Drosophila melanogaster: one gene and its partners. The main gene of each other region encodes a partner of the protein of the gene in region 4 in a complex. Each region holds a gene or a part of one and is shown on either strand. Other genes may lie near its edges.

Region 1 (5,167 bases), about 11 Mb from region 4:
GTCTTGTTGGATGCGGATAGTCGTCAGTCGTTGGGCAGTTGCATAGCATTCATTCTGTAAATCTTGTACAATTTCCCTTTTATATATAATGTATTTTAAAATTGCTCGTTGCTGTTTGGCACATCGTACTTTGTACACTCTTGTAATTTGTCCACACCCGTTGTGTTGAGTGCCCTATACAGCACCACCGGCAATATGCGCGTTGTAGATTGAAGAAAGCCTTTGCATATATTTAAAAACAATGTTTTTCAATGGTTTGTTTAATTTGAAATTCTATTACCATATAGATCAGACTATAAATCAGATGCATTGTCTATAAATTAGTATTCCATTATTTGTATTGTATGTACTATATATAAATAGGATCGGTATTTATGCTTACATTTACACTTTTAAACGGTGTATATTGTTTACACACAATATAAAATATCATTAACATAAATCTTACATAAATTTCATTAAAACCAAAAGTGAGTAATCAAGTTAAATAAAAATTCTGTCTTGGCGGAATACATATGCAGGTGAACGATTTGAATCGAAATGCGCCAAAAGATTAAAGATCACAAGTCGAATAACTACTTAAATACTAATCAGTATTGTGAGCCCGGATCGGATCCTATGCCAATCTATTGCCAAACGCCCGCATAGTTGCCCACCAAAGTCGCCGGCAGTGGTCCTCCTGCAGCGAAGAGGCGCATCCTAGTGCTGTCATAGCAGTGGGTGTAGATGGCGGGCACATACTTCACCTGCTGGAAGCCATCCATCTCATCCTCCGGATACTGAAATGTACAAAACAGTTAGGTGAATTGGTGTATTTTGTGGAACTGTAACCTCTTCACTTACCACAATTCCTTTGCTGCACTTGAGTGCGACTGTGCGCGAGGCATTCACACTGCTCTCCAAATACTTTCCGGCTCGAATGTCGTAGAATAGGAGCATGCCCAGACCCGTGCCAACGGTGAGCAGGTTACCTTCGAACGAAGTCGCCCGTATACCGCAGCCACTGTATCGAGATGTGATCTTCTTAATGGTTTGAAGGGTTCGGGCGTCCAAAAGGATGGTATAGGAACGGCATCCAACGGCATAAAGGCCGTCGCTGTGGTAGGCGATGCTCACGTTGTCCTGGCAGTTTGGCAGCTTTCGTGAGAGTGTCTGCTTGAAGGTCTCCGCATTGAAGATGTGAATGTATCCGTTCAGCGAGAGGGCGGCGATCTCCTTAAACTCCTTGTTGAAGCAAAGAGATCGAATCTGTAAAAGATCTTATTGATAAAATGGTTCTTTGATTTGATTTGCATTCATAAGCTCACCCTCTGGGCAGTGCGAACTTCCTTGACACTAAGGGGGTGGATGGTTGCGAATGTGGGACACGCTTCCTCGCCGCCATCTGGAAACTCCATGTGATCCTCGTTGATGCGCCACAGAGCCATGCGCGAGTCCTTCGATCCGGACACAAGAAACTGGTCATCCAGCCAGCACATGCCCATTATAAGGTCGCGGTGCCCACCCTCGCCCACACAGACGGGATCCAGCGTAGGCAGTCGGTAAACAGCAATATCGGAGGAGTTGCGCGCACCGGTGGCTAGGAAGGATCGGCTGGGCGACAGCTCGATGGCATGCAGGCCACCCTGGACCTCAGGATGGTTTGCCCGGCTATTTGAGAGCGTTGGGATGGCGTCCACCCGGCGCATGTTCACATCGTAGACGAGCAGTTTATTGCACTTGGTCCCGAAAACCACTTGTCGACTGCTCAGCCACTTGGAGCAGAAGACCTTGTTGATGTAGCCCAGACTAATCTGCGTCTCGCGCAGCATGTCGTGGGTTAGCACATAGCGGCTGGTGTACTCCACATTGACACTGCGACGCTGCAGAGGATGGTGGGACAAAGTTCACGTTAGCAATGCAAGTGGTGCGACTTCACAACATATACCCACATCTCGGAGTCCACTCTCCCGGCTGCGCAGGTAGTCGCACAGGTTGTAGGATGTGTTCAGGACCTCCTCCTGCTGTTGGGGCGTCTCCTCGTCGCTGCCGGAATCCTCGTAAGTAACAAAGTCGTCTGGTTTGTCCGGTTTTCGTCTACGCTCCTGTCGCATCGCCCGCTGCTTGGCCCTGCGCTCCTCCAGCCGCGAGGATACGTGGCAGGACGGATAGGTGCCCACGACGCTGTCGCGGATGGTTCTCACCATCCCGTTGAACATCTTAAGGTAATTGTTTAATCCGATTTGTTGTCTTTTGCTTTACGGGTTATCATCCGCAAACAAAAATGGTGGTGCGTAGACTACAGTGGAACTACTGGTTCGGAACTGAAGTTTGCTGAACCGATTGTTTTGCATTTAATGCAGAGATACAAATTAAGGGAAATAAAAATACAAGTGTTGACATTTTTCTATTTGGCACAATACTCGGCCGCTCTGGTTACCTGAATATATATATATATATAATAATATATATATAATATACAGTATTTATATAAAGTCGGATGTCGCACAAATGCGTTACACTATCGTTCATCCCTAACGATAGGCCATCGCTTTCACAAAGGGTTTTATCTATTCTCACGAAATCAGCTGTTGCGATTGAAGTGGTGACTTTGTTTGTAAATAAAATGAACTACAACGCCAAGCGAGTAATGCGACAGAACTCGGTTTGCGTGGGTTCCAACGACATGGCAGCGTCGCCGATAATGATTGGACCTGCCCCGCCCTCGGCGCCCAGCACGCCGCAACTGCAGACCACCGAGGACATCAAGCCACTGCTTGTGCAGCGCCAAGTGATTCTGCTGCAAAGTGGAAGCATACCGACGAATCCCTCGCCACAGCAGATCAACCTAGCTGGACATAATGTAGCCGGTGGTGCCAGCGGGAGCAACGTTGCCAACGTTCTCATTCCGGATGATGCACCTGTCTCACTGCTCACAGAGATTGCGGATATCATGCGAAGCTTCGGCGACAGCGATCAGCCCAGGACGGGAAGTGTCAAGCTGGTGGAGCAGATCCTGCAGCAGCAGCTGCGCGGCATCTTCAATGAGGCTTCGCTGGTGGCCATGCGGCGGAAACAGAATCCCTGCCCGTCGCAGGCGGACTTTGAGTTCCTGATGCGCAACCATCCGGTGAAGATAGCTCGGATGCGAAAGCACCTCAAGGATATGCGCATACTCAAAAGGTTCCTTAGTATCCGCACGGGAAGGCCGCAGGACTTCATGGACGACTTGGAGCAGCAGGAGGAGGACGAGGAGCTGGCCATCGATGTGTACGAGCTACACGACGAGGACCGAATGCGAAGATTATTCCGCGCAGATCGGATATCGCAGATCCTTACGGGCCAGCAATACCTGGAGTTCAATGAGGCGCGCAAGACGTCATTCTACTGCCGCCATGGGGAGAAGATCAAGAACAAGTTCCGCCGCTTTCTGGACCTGCCCGCGGACCTTCGCATCCCAACGCCGACAATGAACATTTTGGCCTATCTGGCGCATGAGACCATTGCCGCCATTGTCGACTATTCGATCCTGACGCGCCTGAACTCGGACAACCGTGCGACCGAGCCCTACAGCCGAGTGACCTCCGCCGGAGGCAGTCCGGCTATGATGCACGTCTGTCCGGAGGTCACACAGGGTCGCGGCATGGAGGTGGTCAAGCCAATCAGTGTACCGGAGATCCACGAGGCCATGCGCCGTTTCCGGCAAATGAGCAGCCGTAAGATTGGGCGGTATCGCAACTCTTGCGACATCGATTTCCGGCGCAGTTTTCTAGCCATTTAAGTTTTAATGATCTTAATATCCTCGCCTATTTTTATTTGCGTCAATTATTGATTTTATTCACAAAAAATAGACTGTACAATTAATTCATTTAAAGTAATTCAATCCCCAACAATTAACGCGCTCTACATTTTAATTATACAAATTATAAAATAAAGCAATTTTGGCTCGTTAAAAAAGTTTTTTCCTGAGAGGTCAAGAACAACTAGGCATATTCATTAATTCAATTTGCCTGTGGCACATATCCTGGCCTTTGAGGCTGCGACTAAAAGACAGAAAAACGCACTCCAATTACGGACGGGTGAATCTGCCTCGCATGGAGCCGATAAATTGAAGCGGTAAACGAAGTTGAAACTGGCACCGACAGATAAATAAAAGCGCAATAAAGAAATTTGCCGACAGGCGCACTCGCACGTGTGCCACACAGACGGAGCGAAGGAGAAGGACCAGCAAGGATGCCGCAGGATTGCAGGAGAGACTGCAGCATAAGGCATTAAGAGAAGCAACTCGCGAACGCACTTAATAATCAACTTCCTGTTGTGCATATAAATGTGTGTGACACGCATAGCAACGAAGGGTAAAGGGGTTAAAATTCATTCCGCAGTTATGGGTGGCGGGTTTCATTCTGTCTTTTGCCGTGAATTGAAAAGGATTAAGAATTATTGCTCAATGTCACTTGAACTTTTAATATATGTACATATGTGCAATTGTGGTCATGATTGTATAGCAAAGGCAAAATCCAAATCTTTTCCAAAAACCTTTTTAAAATAACTTTTAAAAACCATTTATTTGAAATTTTTCTTATTCCTATCACCCGCTTGTTTATCTGATAACATGCGGTCCGAAATTTGACTTAAAATCGATGCACCTTTAAAGGTATCCTCTTGTTATTTTCTTCGGTGGGATATCCTAGTTTAATCGGATCTTAATGTTGATTGCTCTGTGCTGCAGATGTAATTCCAACGGCCCATTATTCTTAATCGATTGCTCATACGCCTAACGAGCGCCGGAACGCAGTCGATAGCTCCTCGATGGCCAGTTAATGAAAACAAGCTGGCTGTGACGAAATTAAGCCAACAACTTGTTTCCATTCCAGCATCGTCCTTGTGATTTTTTTCCTTGACCCCGCGCACTGCTCCCCACACTTCTCCACACTCACTGTTAATGTTTCCAAATTTGCATTTCATGCGGCTCTTCGCTTCGTCCCCAACAGGACCATCATCATCAGGTCCGTGGAGCTCGTCGTCGCGTCGTCATTTCTTCGTATTGTCAAGTCACGTAGCCAATTTCCAGGCCGCGTAAAGTCAATATGCCCCAATCCCTTGTAGCCGAGTTGCCTTAAACTTCTCTTAAAGGGAAGGCCCTCATATTATACGTATGTATGTAAATATGCCTCTATACCTTAATTTC
Region 2 (6,461 bases), on a different chromosome or scaffold from region 4:
TAGTTGCTGGGTCTTGAAATAAATATGAATTTCAAACTTACCGCCACAAGTGGCATTGAATTCGAGCGGCGCTTTCCAACACTTCGATGCGTGTGCACAGCTGACTTGCCGGCAAATGAAAAACATTGAATAATATTCCGAAAGCATGCTGAACTTGTCCGTGGTGCTCCGGGTGCAATCATCGCGCCATGTGGCTTCATATGCCACAGCGGCGGCGGCGGCAGTTAAGACGAAGCCACCAAAGGCAAAGTCCAAGGGCAAAAAGCAGAAGGGGGAGCCCCTAATCTCCTGCAGAAGAAGCCAGTTCGATTTAACCCAATACGAGCAGACGGATGCCAAGTTTGGGAGTCTTTCGCTGGCCTCCAAGGGCTGGCTGCACAACAAATCCAAGGGAGACTTCTTCATCCTGAACGCCAGCGTGCGAGGTGAGGAACTCCAGCAGGAAATGCAGACCGTCGATGAGTTCCTCGAGAGCACGGGGATGCAGATTCATCCGCAACTCCTTGAGAACTTGCGAGTCGAGCTGGGCATCAAATTACTGACGGGAATCCAAAAACAGGGAATGCCCGTTGTCCATGGAAATGAGCACTGCCTCATTGCCGCTGAAACTGGGTGTGGAAAAACAATTACATATCTCCTGCCTATCGTAGACAAACTCCTCCAGAAAGAAGTGGTCACCGAACGAAAACTCAACACCCCCCGTGTCTTGATCCTCACTCCCGGCAGAGAACTAGCCACGCAGATTGCTGGGGTCACGGAGAAGCTCACCCAGGGCACCAATCTCAAAGTGCAATCTTTACTTGGCGGCAATACCAAGCAGCTTATGATGAACCCACAGTTCGAGGAGGTGGACATACTGGTCGCCACTCTGGGTGCACTTAGCAAACTGGTGACCACTGGCATCTACCGCATGGAGCAGGTTCGTCATCTGGTTCTAGACGAAGCGGACACCCTCCTAGATGATACGTTCACAGACAAACTTTCCTACTTCCTCAGGAGATTTCCCGTAAGTCATTCTAGGCGATTACCAAAGGAATGGCTTCAATCAGCTTGTTTTTTCTTATTCGACAGTTCCACTTGGTGCAAAAGGAGGATGCTGGCACCCAGATGATCCTGGCCTCGGCCACCATGCCCACGAACACCAGAGAGATCCTTCACAAAGTCATAGACGTGGACACCATCCGTGAGGTCGTCAGTCCGCACCTGCACCGACTGATGTCTCATGTGACGCAGAAGTTCCTGCGGCTGTCGAAGGCCGATCGGCCCGCCACACTTCTGTCACTCGTGAAGCATGATCTTGCCAAACGTCGCCCTCTTATCGTGTTCAGCAACAAGTCCACCACCAGTGACTTCGTTTCCATCTTCCTGAACAACAGCGGAGTGAACTGCTTAAATCTGAATGGGGATATGCTGATGAAGATCCGTCTTGGCCGCTTCGAGCAGTTCCAAAACGGTCACTGCGACGTCCTTTCCACCACCGATGTGGGAAGTCGTGGCCTGGATACCACACGAGCTCGACATGTGGTCAACTTTGACTTTCCGCTCCACGTCTCCGATTATATCCATCGTTGTGGCAGGATCGGTCGGGTGGGCAACATGGACAAGGCGCTAGTCACGAACCTGATATCATCGCGCCGCGAAATCGACGTCGTCCAGCGAATTGAGCACGCAGCTCGAACAGGTGGACTTCTGCCGGATGTGAATGCCAACATCCGAAACATTATCAACAAGCGGATTGTGGCGGAGATGAAAGCTGCAGGAATGCCCGTGCCCGCTTTGGGCTCACTAAATGGACATACGCCTCAGGAAGAAGCCTTTTAGTTCTGTGTTTTTATGTATTACGAGTAAAGTTGTATCACCTTTCGGAAGACCGAAGAGGAAGTCTAAAGTAAACGAAGAGTTTTATTGAGATCCCCAGGTCCTCCTGGACCTCCAGAAGGTCTTATAATACTTTCCCAAGTCCCTTTCAGATCCTTAGGTAGTGATAGCCACTGATGGGCGACCACTTTCTCACGTTGGTCAGGGGCTTAAAGAGTTTTCGTTTGGCGATCAGGATGTCGGAGCTGGCACCGCCACCCCCACCACCGTTCGCTGCCGACGAAGGCGAGTCTTCGGAGTGGGGAACAGTCGCAACCTTCGGCTTCAGCAGCACCGGGCGGCATCCTGCAAACTTAAAGCGGATGTTGCCCGCGCAGTTGAGCTGAAGATTTGGTGACTGAAGGTCGGGGAAAGCCTCGCAGAGCGTAGGCTTCGGTTTGAGTGCCTTGCTAGGATCGTCTCCGTGGCACATGGCTGCCGCAAGAGTACTCCATTCCAACCGACGCACTCCCGGCACTGATTCTATTCTGTAAGCGGGTTGTTTGGCCTTCACATACCGTCTGGTTACCATCTTTTCGTAGGCTCCTGCAATGATTTTTAGTTACTTAACCGCTTTTCATGGAACACATGGGTGTTTCTTACGCGCATAGTGGACCAAGAAGGGCTGCAGAGCAGCACCGCATCCGTACTCCAGCCATTCATACAGGTATACGTCATCATGACCGCCAAGGAAGATGGCAGCCGGAGCCAGATCCGGCCACAGGCTATCCGGGATTTCCTCGACGCGCAGTTTGTAGATGTAGGGAATAAACTCACGAAAGGCATATTCTCCCAGGGCAATGAGACCGCGCACTGCTCTACTGATATACCTAAAGTCTTAATTAAGAAATCCAAAGATAAGGATCCAGGCTAACAAATTGTAAGGATGATTTACCTCTCTCACTGCTGACGTGGCGACCTTCGAAGAATCTCGCTAGGCGTCTCTTGATCAAAAACAGGCACTCTGCATGTAGGTAACCACTTTGAGATGCCAGCTGTCCTATAGTTTCACACAGCTCGTCCACCAGGCCATTGCCGACTGGACAGGCAAAGTAGCTGGATAGGTGTTCCGCCTCCGGCTGAGGATTCAATTCCTCCTCCTCCGATTGCAGCTTGTAGATTGTGTGTTCCATGGTGCTCTCACCCGGAAACATCTGGGGTTCTTGCTCCTGTTTCTCTACTCCCATGACCTCCGGATTTTCCTGGGTTTCCGGATTATGGCACTGGTCTGGCTCAACCTTTAGTTCTTCTTCAAACTCCATTTTGATGGAGGTGGTTTGTCCCGGATCTGGGTCGACGTGTGGAGCTTTGATAGTTTCGTAAGGTGCCATTAGCTGGCTGACCAGTACCTCGGCCAGGTTGAAGTACTCCGGCCGGCAGGCATTGTGATTAGCAGTGGCGTTGTAGTTGCATGCTCGGAGCAGTCGCCAGCATCGCTGGCTCAAATGGTCCTGCTGCTTAAAGGCTAGCAACTGGACCATCTTACTCACAATCACTCGGTAGATAGATCCCATCAGGGGTGTCTGAAAAGCATGGCAGACGGCGGCCGTCTGGGATTTGCTGTCCGCAAAAAGGGCTGCCGTCACAAGACTCTGGACACACTGTCTTAGTTGGTCCATGTGCTTATCCTCCACTGGGCAGATGCTCTGAAAGTCTGCATCATCAGGTGTGCACAGATTGACTTCCTTCTGAAACTCCGCGCTCAGCTCGAAGATCTTATCCGAGTGAAAGTAAAAACTGCCGTCATAGTCGATCCGGTCCCAGTCGCTGTCCATCGCACCCAGCATAGGCGGCACATCGGCATCTTTTAGCACTTCGTTCACCAGGTCGTATGTCACCACTCCGCCCGAGTGGCGCGAGTATATTTTGACATTCTGAGAGATCAAGAGGTTAGAGGGATTAAAGAGGTGTATTACGGTCGACTTACATTGATCAGCTCCCAGACTTTGTAGGAGGCATCTTCCGCCAAACGGGCGCACACATCCTGGGAGAGTTCCACATCGGTCTGGTCGTGCTGCTCCCAAAAGATCTTGATGCTGCGCGGATCGAAACCAGCATAGCTCTTCTGATGACCCTACAGTAAAGAGAGCTTGTACCATAAGAGGGCCCTGAGATTGGCATCCTTACCATTCGACTGGAGTTGCCAGAGGCTTCTGCGCCCGCGATGCCGCCTGCAAGTCCGTGCCCACCACTTCCTGCTACCGCAAATGAGGCGTCAAACAGATTGTAGTTACCCAGACTAGATGTTGGCGTGGTGGGCGTTGTCACCATGTTTAGGTGAGTGGGCGTGGCCGGCAGGCTGCCCACTGCAACGCCCCCGCTCACTGCGGATGCGATGGAGGATGATGCGGATGCCGACAGGGAATTCTTTCCAGTCAACTCCAATTTCGCCGACTTAGATCGCGACTTAGTGGACTTTTTGCTGACTTTGCTGTGCGATGACTTGTTCAGCTCGTCAGTATTGCTGGCGCCAGAGGTTTTCATCTTCTTGGTTTTGTATAATTCATAAATGTATATATTTTCAACAGTTGGTAAATAAACAACGAAGCTGCACCACAAAATAAACAAATCTTGCCAGATTATTAACCCAACTATCGATGGTGCCAACGACTTATCGATATATTGATGAGCACTCGACTGTTTTCAAGCCAAGCCCGATAACACCAGTACTGATAAGAATAACAACATAATTGGTATTCGAATTTAATTCCATTTATTTAAATGCTATAAACACAATGGCAGAAGCGGCAAATGTGCGCCAGAACCTTCAAAATGTGCCGTCGATCTTCGAAATTTCAGCGTCAGAGACGCTGGACAACCTGATTTACCCGGCACTGAGCAAGATATTCGACTACTTTGGACTACGCCTGGACTTTAAACTATGGGGGAGTTTGAGGATTCAGGAGGAGCTGTCGCCATTGCTGACTTGGCTGCTGCAGTACCTGTATCTGCGCAAGAGGGCCTCCTCTTTCGGTGAGAGCTTTTACGGATTGCAAAGGACGGTCACAACCACTGGGGATCTGCTGAACCGCAGGCAGCAGTTCGCCTCTGCCACACTGCTAACCTTCATGCCTTACGTGGAGCGGAAGCTAAGGACCAGGATCACCAGGCACGAGGACACCAGTCCCTGGGAGCAACGCCTTCTAAGCGCATTCCATGCTTTCCATGCCGCCAAGGCGGCGCACACATTCTTTTACCTCGTAAAGTACGCCTCAAACCACTCGCCCATCTTCAGATTGTTGGGGCTGACCCTTCGCTATCCCAGCGAACCTCCCAAAGAGGATCAGTGGACCTACGTGGTCCTAAAGATGCTGGAGGTCTTGGCCTTCTTCCTGCAGTTCGTCCAGTGGTGGTACTCCAACGACCAGCGGCGGAAAGTGGGTGGAACTCTGATAAATCCCGAAGCGATGCCGAGAAAGCAGCTGCCCAAGGAAGTGCAGCAGAGCCTTCCCCAGCGGGGAGAGTGCCCAGTCTGCCTGCTGTCCATCCAGACGCCCACTGCCTGCTCCGTTTCCGGCTACGTCTTTTGCTGGAAGTGCATCGTTAGCCACATGAAGGAGCACGGCACCTGCCCGGTCACCCACTATCCCATCAGTCTGGACGACCTGGTGCGCATCTACGAGACGTAACGTTAAGCATTCCTTTTATGTTTTTTGCTTGTTTTTGTTTAATACATTTTATAAGGAATTGGGAACTGTTTACATCTCGCTGAGGAAGAAACCCAAACGTTGGTCGTAACATATGTAGACGTGGTAGAAGTCAAAGTAGACCGTGCATAGATAGATAAAGAAGCACTCACAGGAGATGAACTCGCCCATACCGAATACGGAGTAGGCTGCAGAGGATCCGGGGATTAGAATTGTAGACATCCTTCCATTCGGTTAGGTTCTACTCACCCAAGGGAAAGCAAAACTTCTGGTGTATAAAGTAAAAAATCCACATGACCACCACCCAGACGTAGTAGGTGAGCACCAGACCGCTCTTCAACCGCAAGGAGAATTCCTCATGCAGCTGCCCAATCCTATCGCTCATATAGTACTTGGCGCACACAAAGGAACCTGCCATGTAAATGGCACACGATACGAATAGCGACAAGGCGATGGTTATGTGCAGCAATGAGTCGCCATCCTCTTGGGGGAAGGTGCCCCATAGCAGTACGCTGGAACTACTGACAGCCATAATGATGGCCATCAGGCAGCCGAAACCTCGGACCGGCCTGCGCAGATTCCTCCGATAGAATCGGAACTGCAGCCATGCACTGGCAATGAGAAATGGGAACTCCAGGTAGCAAGCCAGAGCCCACACTTTGTGCTGAGACTTGGCAGCCGCCGATGTGGAGGGAAAGATGTTGAAGGCATTACAGGTGGTATACGTGGTGGACTGGAAGTCCGTGGTGATGGCCATCACCAGGTTGTACACCATGCAGACGGGCAATTGCAGAAGCCCCAGTGCGAGAATCGGACCAACTGGGATGCGGAAATGCCGCCTCGCCTGCAAATCCTTGATGGAGCTGGGCAACAGCTTGGCTTGATCCTCCACAAAGTGCAGCATTTAAGAGCAGGTTAATCCTAGGACAAGTCGGTCAGACAATCTTACACTTTCTG
Region 3 (4,860 bases), on a different chromosome or scaffold from region 4:
TACAGAAAATTTTAGCTACATAATCTACGCCGGGGTAGACACCAGATCTGATAGAGAGTTAGATACAGTACAAAAGCATATTATAAAAGTATGGTATAATATCATATTATAGGCATCTTTTCTGGCTAGGGTAAAGTAGGGAAACTTTGGTATTTATCACTCTATCAGATCTTTTGAATGCCCCAGATGTATAGATATGGATTATGTATGTATGGATTCTAAGGCAGGCTGTGTAGATCGTATAGCGTGTAGAGGTCTTCTGTGCGATCGTAGTTGGTTCTCATATGCTTCAGCATGGAAGGCAGGTTCTCTTTGGCCGCCTCGACATCGGAGCACACTTTCTTGAGAAGATCTCCCCTAGTGGGCATCGCGTACATAGCCAGGCGCGCTCCTTTGCGGATGAGGAATGAGTGATGCTTGCCCAGGGTGTCATCGTAGGCCTCCTTGCACACGTCCACAGTCTTTTGGTCGTCGGGTATCGCCTGGATCCGATTGAGAAACTCGTAGACAAAGTCTAGATAAGAAGAAACCAATCAATTAGCCACTGTGGCAGTTATATGCGCATAACGCTCACCAAGACCGCGATGAAGACGTAGCAGCGTTCGACTGCCAGACACGTAACCCTTCTGAGTAAGCAACTGGGCCTCCTTCTCGTAATCCAGCATGGTTCTGAAGGTATTAAAGTGTTCCTGCTCCTCCGCGTCCTTGGCTCTCAGGGCGTATAAGATATCTATTTTACTGCGCACATCGCTGCTGACAAAACTGAAGACACTGCCCATGAGCTGGAAGAACCTAATGAACACCGAAAGCCCAATAGAGCACCACTAAAAAACATAAACATCATAATCACTCAGTTTACTTCATTATTTCCTCGTAGGCTGCCAAGTATGCGTCTAATTGTACGTCATCCTCGTCCAGAAGGCTGGTTTCGAACAAATTAGACACTTTGAGGATATCAAAACAGTTTCCATTTTCCGCCGTGCCATTGGTCTGCGTCGCTAAGCTCGTTTTACTCATCTTATAAGCCTGCCTTTCCCCTTTGTTTTCCTACAAACTTTAAAGTCTATTTATTTTTTTTAGGAAATCAATGTAACCGTTCTCCAAAAAATCCGGTATTAAAATACCACCCTGAAATTACTTTCTTCTTATTCCAGACAGAAACCAGTCTATTGTGAATTGAATACAATTTTAATTGGAGCTATTATTACAATTACATTTAATTCTTAAAGTTAAGATAATACATTTTTTATGCTGATGATAGATTCCCGCTGCCACTGCCAGCCCCCTTTTTCGTTGGACGATATGCAATCACATAGCGCTGTGCGACCGGCAAGGGTTCGGCATAGCCATTCGTGTACGATGAATCCTCGAATAGCACCTCGTAATCCTCGGTGGCGGTTTGCGGCAGGCGATGGACAATGGCCTTGTAGAAACAGGTGGTCTGTGGATATAGCGCCATTACCACTGTGTCCTTGGGGAAGAGGGCGTGACCATCGGTCTCAGGATTTGCACGCATTAGAGGCAGTGGGATGACCTTTCGCTTGCTCAGCACATGGCGATCCTTTTGCTCCTCGTCAATGTCAATTACGTCGTATTTGTTTTGACGGTGAAGGAACTGCACCACTTCCGCCAGGATCCAGTTCTCCTCCTCATCAATTCCCTTAGCTAATGCGGCAACATTGTCGCCAACCTATACAGTGGCGTCCGATTAGTCAGATCATCATCCCAGCTTCTTTGTCCAATCAAAATGAATGCTTACCTTGGCCACATAGTTCCCCTCGGCGGGAATGGCTCCACATAGAGCTGGTGCTCGTTCTCCTAGTTTGCCAACGAATAACGGCAACGTTTGCGCTGAGAGCTGCACCATTTTCATAAGGGCGCCCCGTCGAATGGCCTCCTTATTTCCAGCGTTGCGAGCTGTGGAATATGCGAGATTAAATCCTGTTTATACATCCCATCACTAACCCACCTTGGATGCGCCTCTCATTGCGAATGCTTCGAATCTCGTGGATTTTCGCCAGTGCGGCTCGGATTGTGGCCTCCTCCTGCGCAGCCTCCGTTAAACTGGCCTTGAGCAGGGGCTTAACCTTCTGATTGGTGGCGTGCAGAGATCGCACCAGACTAGCAATGGAGTTTTCCGCACGACGACGCTCCTCGTCCACATTGTGAATGTTTTGTTGAATGTCCTTCAGGCGATCCTGTAAATGCCATATAAATATAGTATATATCGACATTTATTGTTAACATCTTTACCTGAATCTGTTGGGCGGCACTCTCCGCAGTCAGTGGCATGTTGTTTCGATATTATAACAATATAATAAATTTGTTTTTTGAACACTTTGTTTACCTACGCAATGAAAACAAAAACAAGCATAAGCGTAAAGTCGACAACGCGTTAGTATTAACTATGCGATAGTTTTATATTTTACCTCAGTATTTTTTTAATCTTAGCAAATTTTATTTTACAGAGTAAAACAGAGTAATTATTGTTAAGATTTTTGTACCGTATAATCTCATTATTTGACTTTAGTGGATCTTTTTCTCAAACTCGAATATTTACTTTTCAAAGTTGTTTACGTTTCTTACATTGGAGATGGAAGCAAGTGCGCCTAACAGCACGCAGATAACAGCACGATATCTTCACGTGGTTGGCGTTATTTAGTCCCTTTTCTGCGCTCTATGACAGCCTCTCTGGCTTTCCCTTCTTTTCCATCGCGTTTCCGTAAGTGTGCTCCGCGTTTTTCCAATTGGCTATTTTTATTTATAATATCTTCAATTGCAGCTAGGAATTCCAGTGTGCGAAAAACGTAGGTGCCTAATACACGAGAAATGCAACGAAAATTTCAACAGTTGTTGGCTTTTTGTTCAACTGGCGTTGGCTAAAAGTGAACTCCAAGTGTTAACCCCAAGCTAAAATTATAATGGCGAACATTTTTTCTGTTTTCATGTGCCGCCCCATCAACGAATCTTTGGATACCCGGAGTAGTTTAAGATGGCCAAGTCCAAGAACCACACAAATCACAACCAGAACAAGAAGGCCCATCGTAATGGCATCAAGCGCCCGCTGCGCAAACGCCACGAGTCCACTCTGGGTGTAAGTATTCAAAAATATGCATATTTAGTTAGCATCTAGAGTTGATTTTAACAACCTTCCCGTCTTTAGATGGATGTGAAATTTCTGATCAACCAGCGCTACGCACGCAAGGGAAACCTTTCCCGCGAGGAGTCCGTGAAGCGCTACAACGAGCGCATCGCTTCCCAGAAGGGCAAGCCAAAGCCTGTTACTCTGTAGATGATTGCCCCGCGTGTGGATAATTAAAGGACAATTCAGTTTAACAAAGAACCGTCTTTATTTGTGTTGCCGTCGTTAGTAGTAGATGCTCAGCACCTTGTGGAAGGGAATGTGCTCCAGGTCGGCATTGTGCCGACGCCGGTAGTCCCACAGATATTGGTCGATCACAATGGAGTTGACGTTGTCCAGTGAGATTTCGGGGTGCTGCTCCTTGAGTATCTTCACCACAGCATCCCTAACTTGTTCGATGATGTATATAGATGCGCCGCGTATCTCCACCTCTCGGGGATCGCCGTTCTCCAGAATAGTATCCGTCTTTAGGAACTCCATTAGCTCACTGGTGTACTCCAAACTGCCGAAGTGCACTAGCACCTGGGGAATTCGGTAGTCAGCGAACATGGTTATCTGATCGATGTCATTAAAGAACCCAAGTCCCTGACCTCTGTAGCAGGACCACACATCGCCCACTAGGATTTGCGCTCGTTTTAGGATGGAAACTCGCTTTCCAGCAAACTCAGCCTCATCGCGAAAACAGGGAAACTCCTCCACAACGAGATCCAGCAAGCGAACTGCCGATTTCTCCGCCTTCTTGATAACATTCTCAAAACTGCCGTCGTACTTGTCGATCAGAACTTTTCCCACTTCATGGAGCGATTCCAGACGCTTTTGGAGCAGCGGAATCACTGTCTCGCCATCGTCAGAGCGGAAAATGTTCTCCACGGTTTTCAGATCAATCTGGGAATAGAACTTGGGATTGATCACATCCACGCCTTCCTTGATGGCTCTCTTAATCGCAGCACACAGCGCAAAGTAGCCGGTATAGCCATCGACCTTATATTTGGTGTAGTTATCTGCGGAAGATTACCATTGAAGATAGTGGATGCTGCTATAAATATCAATTACTCACTGGGGGTCCAAAAGCAAAAGTTCAGGGTGTCCAACACAAAGACCCAGTCGGCTGCTTTGGAATAATCCTCCGGCTGATTTGGATTGGGATGTAATTCGTGCTGCGAGAAGTTTTCCACAGCAATGCGTTTTTCTATTAGGCCTTTTACGATTTCCTGGGTCAGTTTCTCAATGCCTGCAGGCAGAATACGAACATGCTTGGCATTTTCTACGATATAGGCTCCAGATTCCCGGGGACTTAGTTTGCTGCTGGACATTTTAACAATTTTATTAATGTTTTTAATTAAGATGTCGCGACTTTTGGCGCTGTAACAGGCGTTTTGGTTTATTTAGGAGATTCGGGATGGTAAGTAGTCTGGTAACGCCACCAGGGCTGCAGACACGCCAGAACAGTTTCGGCCCGGTGGCAGCGCTGAAATAACACATGAAGGAGCTGCGAATTTCGCTCGTTGCTCGCGGAATAAAATAAGCAAATAATAGTTAAATGGCAATAGTGGGTCACCAACTAGCCGCCAGTTTTTTCTAACTGATTGTGTAATGTTCTAAAAGTGAAGTGCGTACAAAAAAGAGAACGCGTACAGTGCCGTTGATTGCTTAAACAAAAAGTCATCAATTTGTTTTTGTGTGGCTTTGTTGTTTGTGAATGCCCAGGAAATATTTAA
Region 4 (6,597 bases):
CCAGCGGATAAGGTGCCAATAGCACCCACCTGCAGGGTGGACAGCTTGCCGCCCCACAAATATCCTTTCGGCAGCGTGCTGACGGCGTGCACAAAGTCGAGTGAGATCCGAACGATGGACACCATCTCCAGGCGGTGCTTGGTCAACGTTTTCACATCCAATCTATGGATTTGGAAGGTTTGTTAGCTTTTATTGGATGTTTTCGGCTGACGACCACTTACTCGTTTATATTATTCGTTCGGTTCAGCTTTTCCTGATTCAGTGAAAAATTCCGCATTGTCCTAGAAGATGCAATTTAATTTGAAAATTCAAAGCTGACGATTCGAATAATTCTTCTGTACCTCATGAGGTTCAGGTACACCGAAAGCACCCAGAATATGGAGTTGACATTGTCCCAGTTATCCGCATTCTTGACATCCACAATCTTGTGCTCGGCCAGCCAGCACACCTTCTCGATGGGATAGTAGAGCAAATCCACAATGTTGGCCGTCACTCCCAGCACTTGCATGACGCGATCGGGCTCATTCTCGCCCAAGCCATACTCCAAAGCATATTGGATCATGGGTATGTCGTCGATGAGACGCAGTGTGGCTCTCGCACCTGAGATCCTTGAGCTGGCGGTGGCGTATCGCTTGGCTAGTTCCGGATTCCGCTTGGCATGGTAGCCAGCCACCAGTTTGGCACTGTAGCACAATGCCTTCATCACCTGAAATAGGTATTTAATTTCATATATGTAATAATTGTTCTGCGCAATTCGTTAAGCCGTGTGTTTGCTCTATCACGAGAGTTGGCATCGCTGTTTACCTTTGCCTCTACCTGACCCCAATCGCCAGTCAGCCCTGCAATTTGTGGAATTGCTTGGTTGTCACAAACAGATAAAATACTATCAGCGATAAAAAGAATACAACGAATGCCACAATCATCTCGTGTGATGGCCGCCAGTGGAGTGCTCCTGGTCGTCCGTCCTGGCCGGAATGAGTTGTGGGTGGTTTCATTGTTTACCCATTAATGGTTCAGTTTGCTTGCTTTGCCATCAATGAATTAGTTATGCAATTCGGAGGAATACTAATGTCGCTATACGACTAATTTATGTAAATATCCTATAGTATTTCCAAAGTTCGTGACCACCCCATTCGCTGTTTACAGCCACATAATATATTATATTATATTTTCAAATGGTTATCAAGTATAACAAATTATTTGTTCTAATTAATAAATCTAAAATACTTTGAACAATATTTTATCGTATTCAAGGTTCGATTTTTCTATTAAAATAGAGATACACTATACAAGATTCCCTCTTTGTCTGCACTGTATACACCCCTTGTAGGGGTATATAAACTCGCGATGGTGGAAATGTGTGGATCGCGTGTCTCCTGATGGGCGGCAGTCCAAACAAACCTTTCGTTCATAACGAATTATCCGCTTTATCTGGTAGCGGCTTAAAGGTTTGCCGGCTATAGTATTGAGCATTATCTTGACTCGATCGCCGCCGAACTGCGACTGATAAGCGAAAAGCGAAATACAAAATCCATTGCGAATCAGAAAGAAGTAAGGCAAGGTCCAAACTGCTGTGGCTTCCTTGTTCGAGACCCAAAGACCAATGCCAACATCGATGCAGCAACAACATGGAAACCTGTTGGTTCAGTTTCGATTTCAAGCGAGCCCCTCAATGGACCAGTCCAAAAAGGAAATAGAAACCAGTCAAAATGCCACGATGCATTTTTTTAAATTTGCGCATACGAATTGGGAAAAACACTCGGTTCAAACGTAAACAAACAGGTGTGTTTTCAATTAATTGGAAATTTACTCGGCTGTGCGGCTCTTCTATGTTACCTTATCTCGCCCGCCATAGGAATCGATAATATCACAGAACTCGTTCACAAACTTTGTCGTGGTGCCCATAATGGCTCGTTTTTTGAAGACCAGGTACTGTTTTATATCACGTAAAAACTCGAACTGAGATACCGCAGCGAAAATACAAGAAATTGTCAAGAGCGCTCGGGAATCCAACAACACAAACAGCTGACTTTCTTCAGTGGTGACAATAGCCAAATAAACTAGCTAAGAATAGAGAATATAATAGAGCTAAAAATAAAAAGCTAGTTAATATAAATAAAATATAATATAAATATAAGTTAAAAATGTAAAAATAAATTTAAAATTAAAATATTTCAATATCAATATTGTTATAAAAGAGAAGCCAAATAGCCATCACTGACGAAAACAATTTTGAAAGAACAGCTGTTGCAGCCGCTTAAAATCGATGAATGCACATCGATAGGACAACCCATCTCCGCTGTCAGCACTATAATCGAACGCATATCGGACGCACTGCAGGACGGGATCAGGATACGGAACAAAGCGAGGCTAACACGCAACGATGAGCCTGCCCAGCGCCAGCAACCACGCACATGCTGCATCGCCCGTCTACAGCAACAGCAATAACAACAAGTCGAGCGCGAGCAGCAAAAAGACCTCCTCCAAAAACGATTTGCTACGCTGCGCCGTGGGACTCCTGCTGAAGCAGAAAAACTACGTGGTAAGTGAATAATCTTCAAATATACAATTCCTCAGAGTGTTCAAATATTCAAACCCGTAGAGCAACGAACGATTTCGGCGGTCGGATTTTTTGCTGCTGCAAAACAAACAGCAGTTTGCTGTCAACAAAATGCTGGATACGGATTTGCACGGTGGCAATAGCTTCACCTTTTCAAATGTCCAGGTTATCACCAACAACCAGCACACTGTGGACCAGCAATTTGGTCGGTTTTCGCAGTTCGTGGAGGCCCAGGCCGAACCGCTGCGTCTGGAAATGAAGCGCTTTTATGGACCCATGCTGTGCCACTTCTATCTGGATCTGCTCAAGGCTCGCGAACCGCGTGGCGCTGTGGAGTTGTTGCGCAAATATGCTCACTTGGTGGCCCCCGTGGATATGTACGATGCACCACCACCTACCAAGATCAACGGATGCTCCACTACGGCCAATGAGTCCACTTTTAACATACGCTTCGCAAAGGAAGCCCAGGACACTGGGGACACGGAACTGGACTACTTTATGCGCCTGGTGCAAACCCTGAGTGGCTACACACGGCTGGAGGCAGCAGAGTCCGATGACACAGTGGCCCATTTTCGATCTTCGAAATACGAACTACATACTACAGCCGTAGTTGTTAATAGGATATGCGCTTATCTCCAACGACGGGGCCACGTTTTAATTATGAACCTACTCTACACCTGGTTGCATGTCCATATAGTGGAGAATGAGCAGCGCGCCTTTAGTGAGGATCACCTGCTTGGCTTGACGGATGACCTGGAAGGTGAGGATGGAGAGGACGATGTTGTTTCCAAACCAGCAGTAACCCTTAATACCCGCGGAGACATAAGACCAAGCAAATCCCTCACTGAAAAGTCGAACCGAAAACGACCCGCTGAGGAGCCAAACATTATGCTAGAAACAGACATCAAACAGGAGGTAGAAACGGATGAATCTGCAGAGCTTAGTAAATTACAACTGAATATAGACGCCTGCTTGGACACCCTTAAATCGGCCACTGAACAGATACTCAAGTCTCAGGTGGAGTTGCCGCGATTTCTCAGAATCAGTGAACGTTCTCGGGGCCTCACCTCCGCCCATCTGGATCCCAGTGAGTGCCACATGTTAGCCGGGTTCGACAATTCTGCCGTACAGCTGTGGCAGTTAAACCAGAGCTACTGCCGCGGCAAGAGCTTCTACAGACGCTATCCGCAAAAGCGGTGTCCCTGGGAGCTGAACAATTGCGCGAATCAAGAGGAGGAGACGGATGAGGACAGCAGCGATGAGGATGTCAAGTGCTCTGAGGAGGAGAGACGGGAACGCAACAGGGCGCGACATTGCAAATATGCTGATAACTCCTAGTAAGTTCATCTTCCAGGTTTAGTATTGGTTTTATTTTTCAATTTTTAATCAACTAAAGTTTTTTTTTTCTAATTAGCAACGAATACGGCGGATTTCAGCTGCGAGGTCACACAAAAGGAGTCACCGATGTGCGCTTCTCCGCCCACTACCCACTCATGTATAGTGTGTCCAAAGACGCAACCATGCGGTGCTGGCGTGCCCACAACCTGCATTGCGCCGCCATATACAGAAGTCACAACTACCCAATTTGGTGCTTGGACGAAAGTCCAGTGGGCCAATACGTGGTAACGGGTTCCAAGGATTTGAGTGCGCGCCTCTGGTCGCTAGAGAAGGAACATGCGCTCATAATTTATGCCGGGCATACACAGGATGTTGAGGTTGGTTTAACCAAAAATGTCTTTGAACTTTTAGTTATATATATTTTTTTTTTCTGACAGTGCGTTGCGTTCCATCCGAATGGCAACTACATAGCCACAGGATCGGCAGATCACTCCGTTCGCCTGTGGTGTGCAACCAGCGGAAAATTGATGCGTGTCTTTGCCGACTGCCGTCAGGCGGTGACCCAGCTGGCGTTTAGCCCAGATGGAAAGATGTTGGCTGCCGCCGGAGAGGAAACGAAGGTGCGTATATTCGACTTGGCCGCCGGAGCACAGCTGGCTGAGCTCAAGGATCACTCGGCGAGCATTAGTTCTCTTTCCTGGAGCACGCACAATAGGCACCTGGCCACAGCGTGCAGCGATGGTACCTTGCGATTGTGGGACATCAAGAAACTATCGCCCATGAGGTTAGTTATATTTGTGGAATGGAAACGGAGCAATTTGTTAATATTGGTAATGATGATTTATTTTGGTTGCTCCACAGTGACAACAGTAGTGCTGGAAGCTCATCATCAGCTACAACGAATCGTGTGCTTACTGTCAATAGTTCCTGCCAGCGCTTGGTCGATGTTTTTTACGGGACCAGCAAGACGCTCTACTGCATCGGCACTTAAAGAAGACGGTTGAAAGTTCAGCCCGAATTTAGACTTTCTAGTGACGACTTATGTTTGAAAATAATTTATTTTGTAATAAGTTGTATATTATTGTTACTATCGTGTGAAACAATTCTTTATATAAATAATTCTTTTGATTTAACAATCCTGGTAGCTTTCTTGTGGAATAAAACGAGTTGGTTACAGTGTAATGCCTTTACCTGCATCGTCTACTGGTCACAGCTAAAGAATGTCTTTCAAAACGAAGTCATGGCATAAGTAATGAGTGGCCAATTTCCACAAAAGTTGAAAAATGTGTAACTATTAAAAATAAGACGAGCATTCGAATCGAATTTCAATTGTTGAAGTGATTTTTTTTAATATATTAACATTTTACCCAATACCTAAAAATGTGCAAAACTAAATAAATCTAAAGGTAATATAGAATTTTTTGGTTGAATTTAATTAGCGATGCATTAAGAGACATTTTACTGTTCTTCAATAATTTAGGTAGTTTCATATAGGTTTAGGATTGTGTAAATACATTTATATACAGCTTGGAACCTCTATGATTTTGGACATACGCACAGCCCTTTTGAACAAAGAACATTGAACTTAATTTTTAAATAATGTTGGAGTGATCAGCCTTCTGATCGTAAGTTACATGCAATCAATGAATTGAACAACTATAATCAAATATCATAACTTATGTAAATGAGCTTGTCTACGACCCAGCGGGATGCAACAAAAGCTTTATCTTTATCCGGTTGGCTTAAATATAGTGACTTATACAGCGTAATAAAAGAGGGCAGAACATGAATAAATAATAAATAGCATGCATATGCTACGCATGCCGACAGCAGCAGTCTGATTCCACAGCGCACTGGGAAGTAGAAGGTCTAGTATCACAATGTCACTTTATTCAGACCTGAAAGTCTTTGCCAATAAAGTTGGAAGGTAATCCCACCGTGAATGCCTAATAGATCGAGGTTGCTGCTACTGCTGCTGCTTAAGTTGTCGCTGAAGAAGTTGAGTATAAGATTGTAGCTATAATGAGTAAGCGCATCTATCGTTTGAGACGTCCGCGCATAAACTGCAAGGTCTTCGCCATTAGAGGTGCCTTCTTCGATCGCGCTGGTCCAGCCCCTTTTCAATAAAAATTATAGGTAAATTTAATTCTTAACCACAATCATTACAATACTTACCCACTTGGGCCGTGTCCCTGGCAGCGGCCAGCACACGTAGTCGGGCATCGCCCACCTTGGCTGCATTTGGAGTCACGCTGGACAAGGCGGCCACTCGGGCGGCTGGAGTGGCAATTAGCTTGCCCTTGGTGCCATATTGCTCTTGCTTGCGCTGCACACTACGCGGCGGCTTCACCATTGAGTCCACAAAGGCCAATTGCGTCTTGCGCACAGGCGCCTCGCTTATCTTTTGCGATGCCTTGATGCTCTCGGCCAGAATGCTAAGTTTGCGATCCTTTTCCTCTTGGCAGCGCTAGAACGAAATTTTTGTGTCAGCTTAGTTTAGTTTGCATTAATTTAGGGTCTTTGCGTCCCTACCAAAAACATTTCGCGCCACGTTTCCATCTCTTCACGCCGCTGACTGCGACAGTGACGTTGGACATGCTGTTGCCATAGGACATCACTGTCATCCATTAAATAAGGATTGTACTCCTCAAAGTTAAGCAGCTGCTGGGGGGTAGCTCGCTCCAAAACGGGACGTAGGA

The links.
Region 1: wda (region 4) and Spt3 share a complex: the UniProt entries of both Drosophila melanogaster proteins name them as parts of the spt-Ada-Gcn5 acetyltransferase (SAGA) complex.
Region 2: wda (region 4) and Saf6 share a complex: the UniProt entries of both Drosophila melanogaster proteins name them as parts of the spt-Ada-Gcn5 acetyltransferase (SAGA) complex.
Region 3: wda (region 4) and Sgf29 share a complex: the UniProt entries of both Drosophila melanogaster proteins name them as parts of the spt-Ada-Gcn5 acetyltransferase (SAGA) complex.

What each region holds. Positions count from the first base shown.
Region 1 is NT_033777.3:12,014,621-12,019,787, forward strand, and holds Spt3 (Spt3), read left to right. Parts: upstream 1-2,535; 5' UTR 2,536-2,605; coding exon 2,606-3,760; 3' UTR 3,761-3,930; downstream 3,931-5,167. Other genes in the region: DCAF12 (DDB1 and CUL4 associated factor 12), read right to left, coding at 627-779, 844-1,248, 1,308-1,862, 1,932-2,198. UniProt on the Drosophila melanogaster protein: Component of the transcription regulatory complex SAGA, a multiprotein complex that activates transcription by remodeling chromatin and mediating histone acetylation and deubiquitination. The SAGA complex predominantly acetylates histone H3.
Region 2 is NT_033779.5:811,491-817,951, forward strand, and holds Saf6 (SAGA factor-like TAF6), read right to left. Parts: upstream 4,461-6,461; 5' UTR 4,342-4,460; coding exon 3,985-4,341; intron 3,932-3,984; coding exon 3,785-3,931; intron 3,732-3,784; coding exon 2,753-3,731; intron 2,695-2,752; coding exon 2,461-2,694; intron 2,404-2,460; coding exon 1,967-2,403; 3' UTR 1,824-1,966; downstream 1-1,823. Other genes in the region: Dbp21E2 (DEAD box protein 21E2), read left to right, coding at 146-1,006, 1,072-1,821; Pex12 (peroxin 12), read left to right, coding at 4,593-5,486; CG15880 (uncharacterized protein), read right to left, coding at 5,556-5,692, 5,754-6,408. UniProt on the Drosophila melanogaster protein: Component of the transcription regulatory complex SAGA, a multiprotein complex that activates transcription by remodeling chromatin and mediating histone acetylation and deubiquitination. The SAGA complex predominantly acetylates histone H3.
Region 3 is NT_033778.4:21,291,068-21,295,927, forward strand, and holds Sgf29 (SAGA-associated factor 29kDa), read right to left. Parts: upstream 2,580-4,860; 5' UTR 2,430-2,579; intron 2,375-2,429; exon of another isoform or gene 2,348-2,374; 5' UTR 2,293-2,347; coding exon 2,254-2,292; intron 2,199-2,253; coding exon 1,970-2,198; intron 1,918-1,969; coding exon 1,760-1,917; intron 1,691-1,759; coding exon 1,247-1,690; 3' UTR 1,172-1,246; downstream 1-1,171. Other genes in the region: CG30392 (uncharacterized protein), read right to left, coding at 219-514, 575-792, 860-1,017; RpL29 (ribosomal protein L29), read left to right, coding at 2,993-3,094, 3,164-3,292; CG9752 (uncharacterized protein), read right to left, coding at 3,368-4,143, 4,200-4,455. UniProt on the Drosophila melanogaster protein: Component of both the SAGA and CHAT histone acetyltransferase complexes, which both predominantly acetylate histone H3.
Region 4 is NT_033777.3:23,253,786-23,260,382, reverse strand, and holds wda (will decrease acetylation), read left to right. Parts: upstream 1-2,295; 5' UTR 2,296-2,383; coding exon 2,384-2,542; intron 2,543-2,602; coding exon 2,603-3,897; intron 3,898-3,974; coding exon 3,975-4,275; intron 4,276-4,335; coding exon 4,336-4,682; intron 4,683-4,759; coding exon 4,760-4,889; 3' UTR 4,890-5,313; downstream 5,314-6,597. Other genes in the region: Pex11c (peroxin 11c), read right to left, coding at 1-162, 222-281, 342-706, 1,402-1,473; EloA (elongin A), read right to left, coding at 5,935-6,014, 6,074-6,365, 6,431-6,597. UniProt on the Drosophila melanogaster protein: Component of the transcription regulatory complex SAGA, a multiprotein complex that activates transcription by remodeling chromatin and mediating histone acetylation and deubiquitination. The SAGA complex predominantly acetylates histone H3.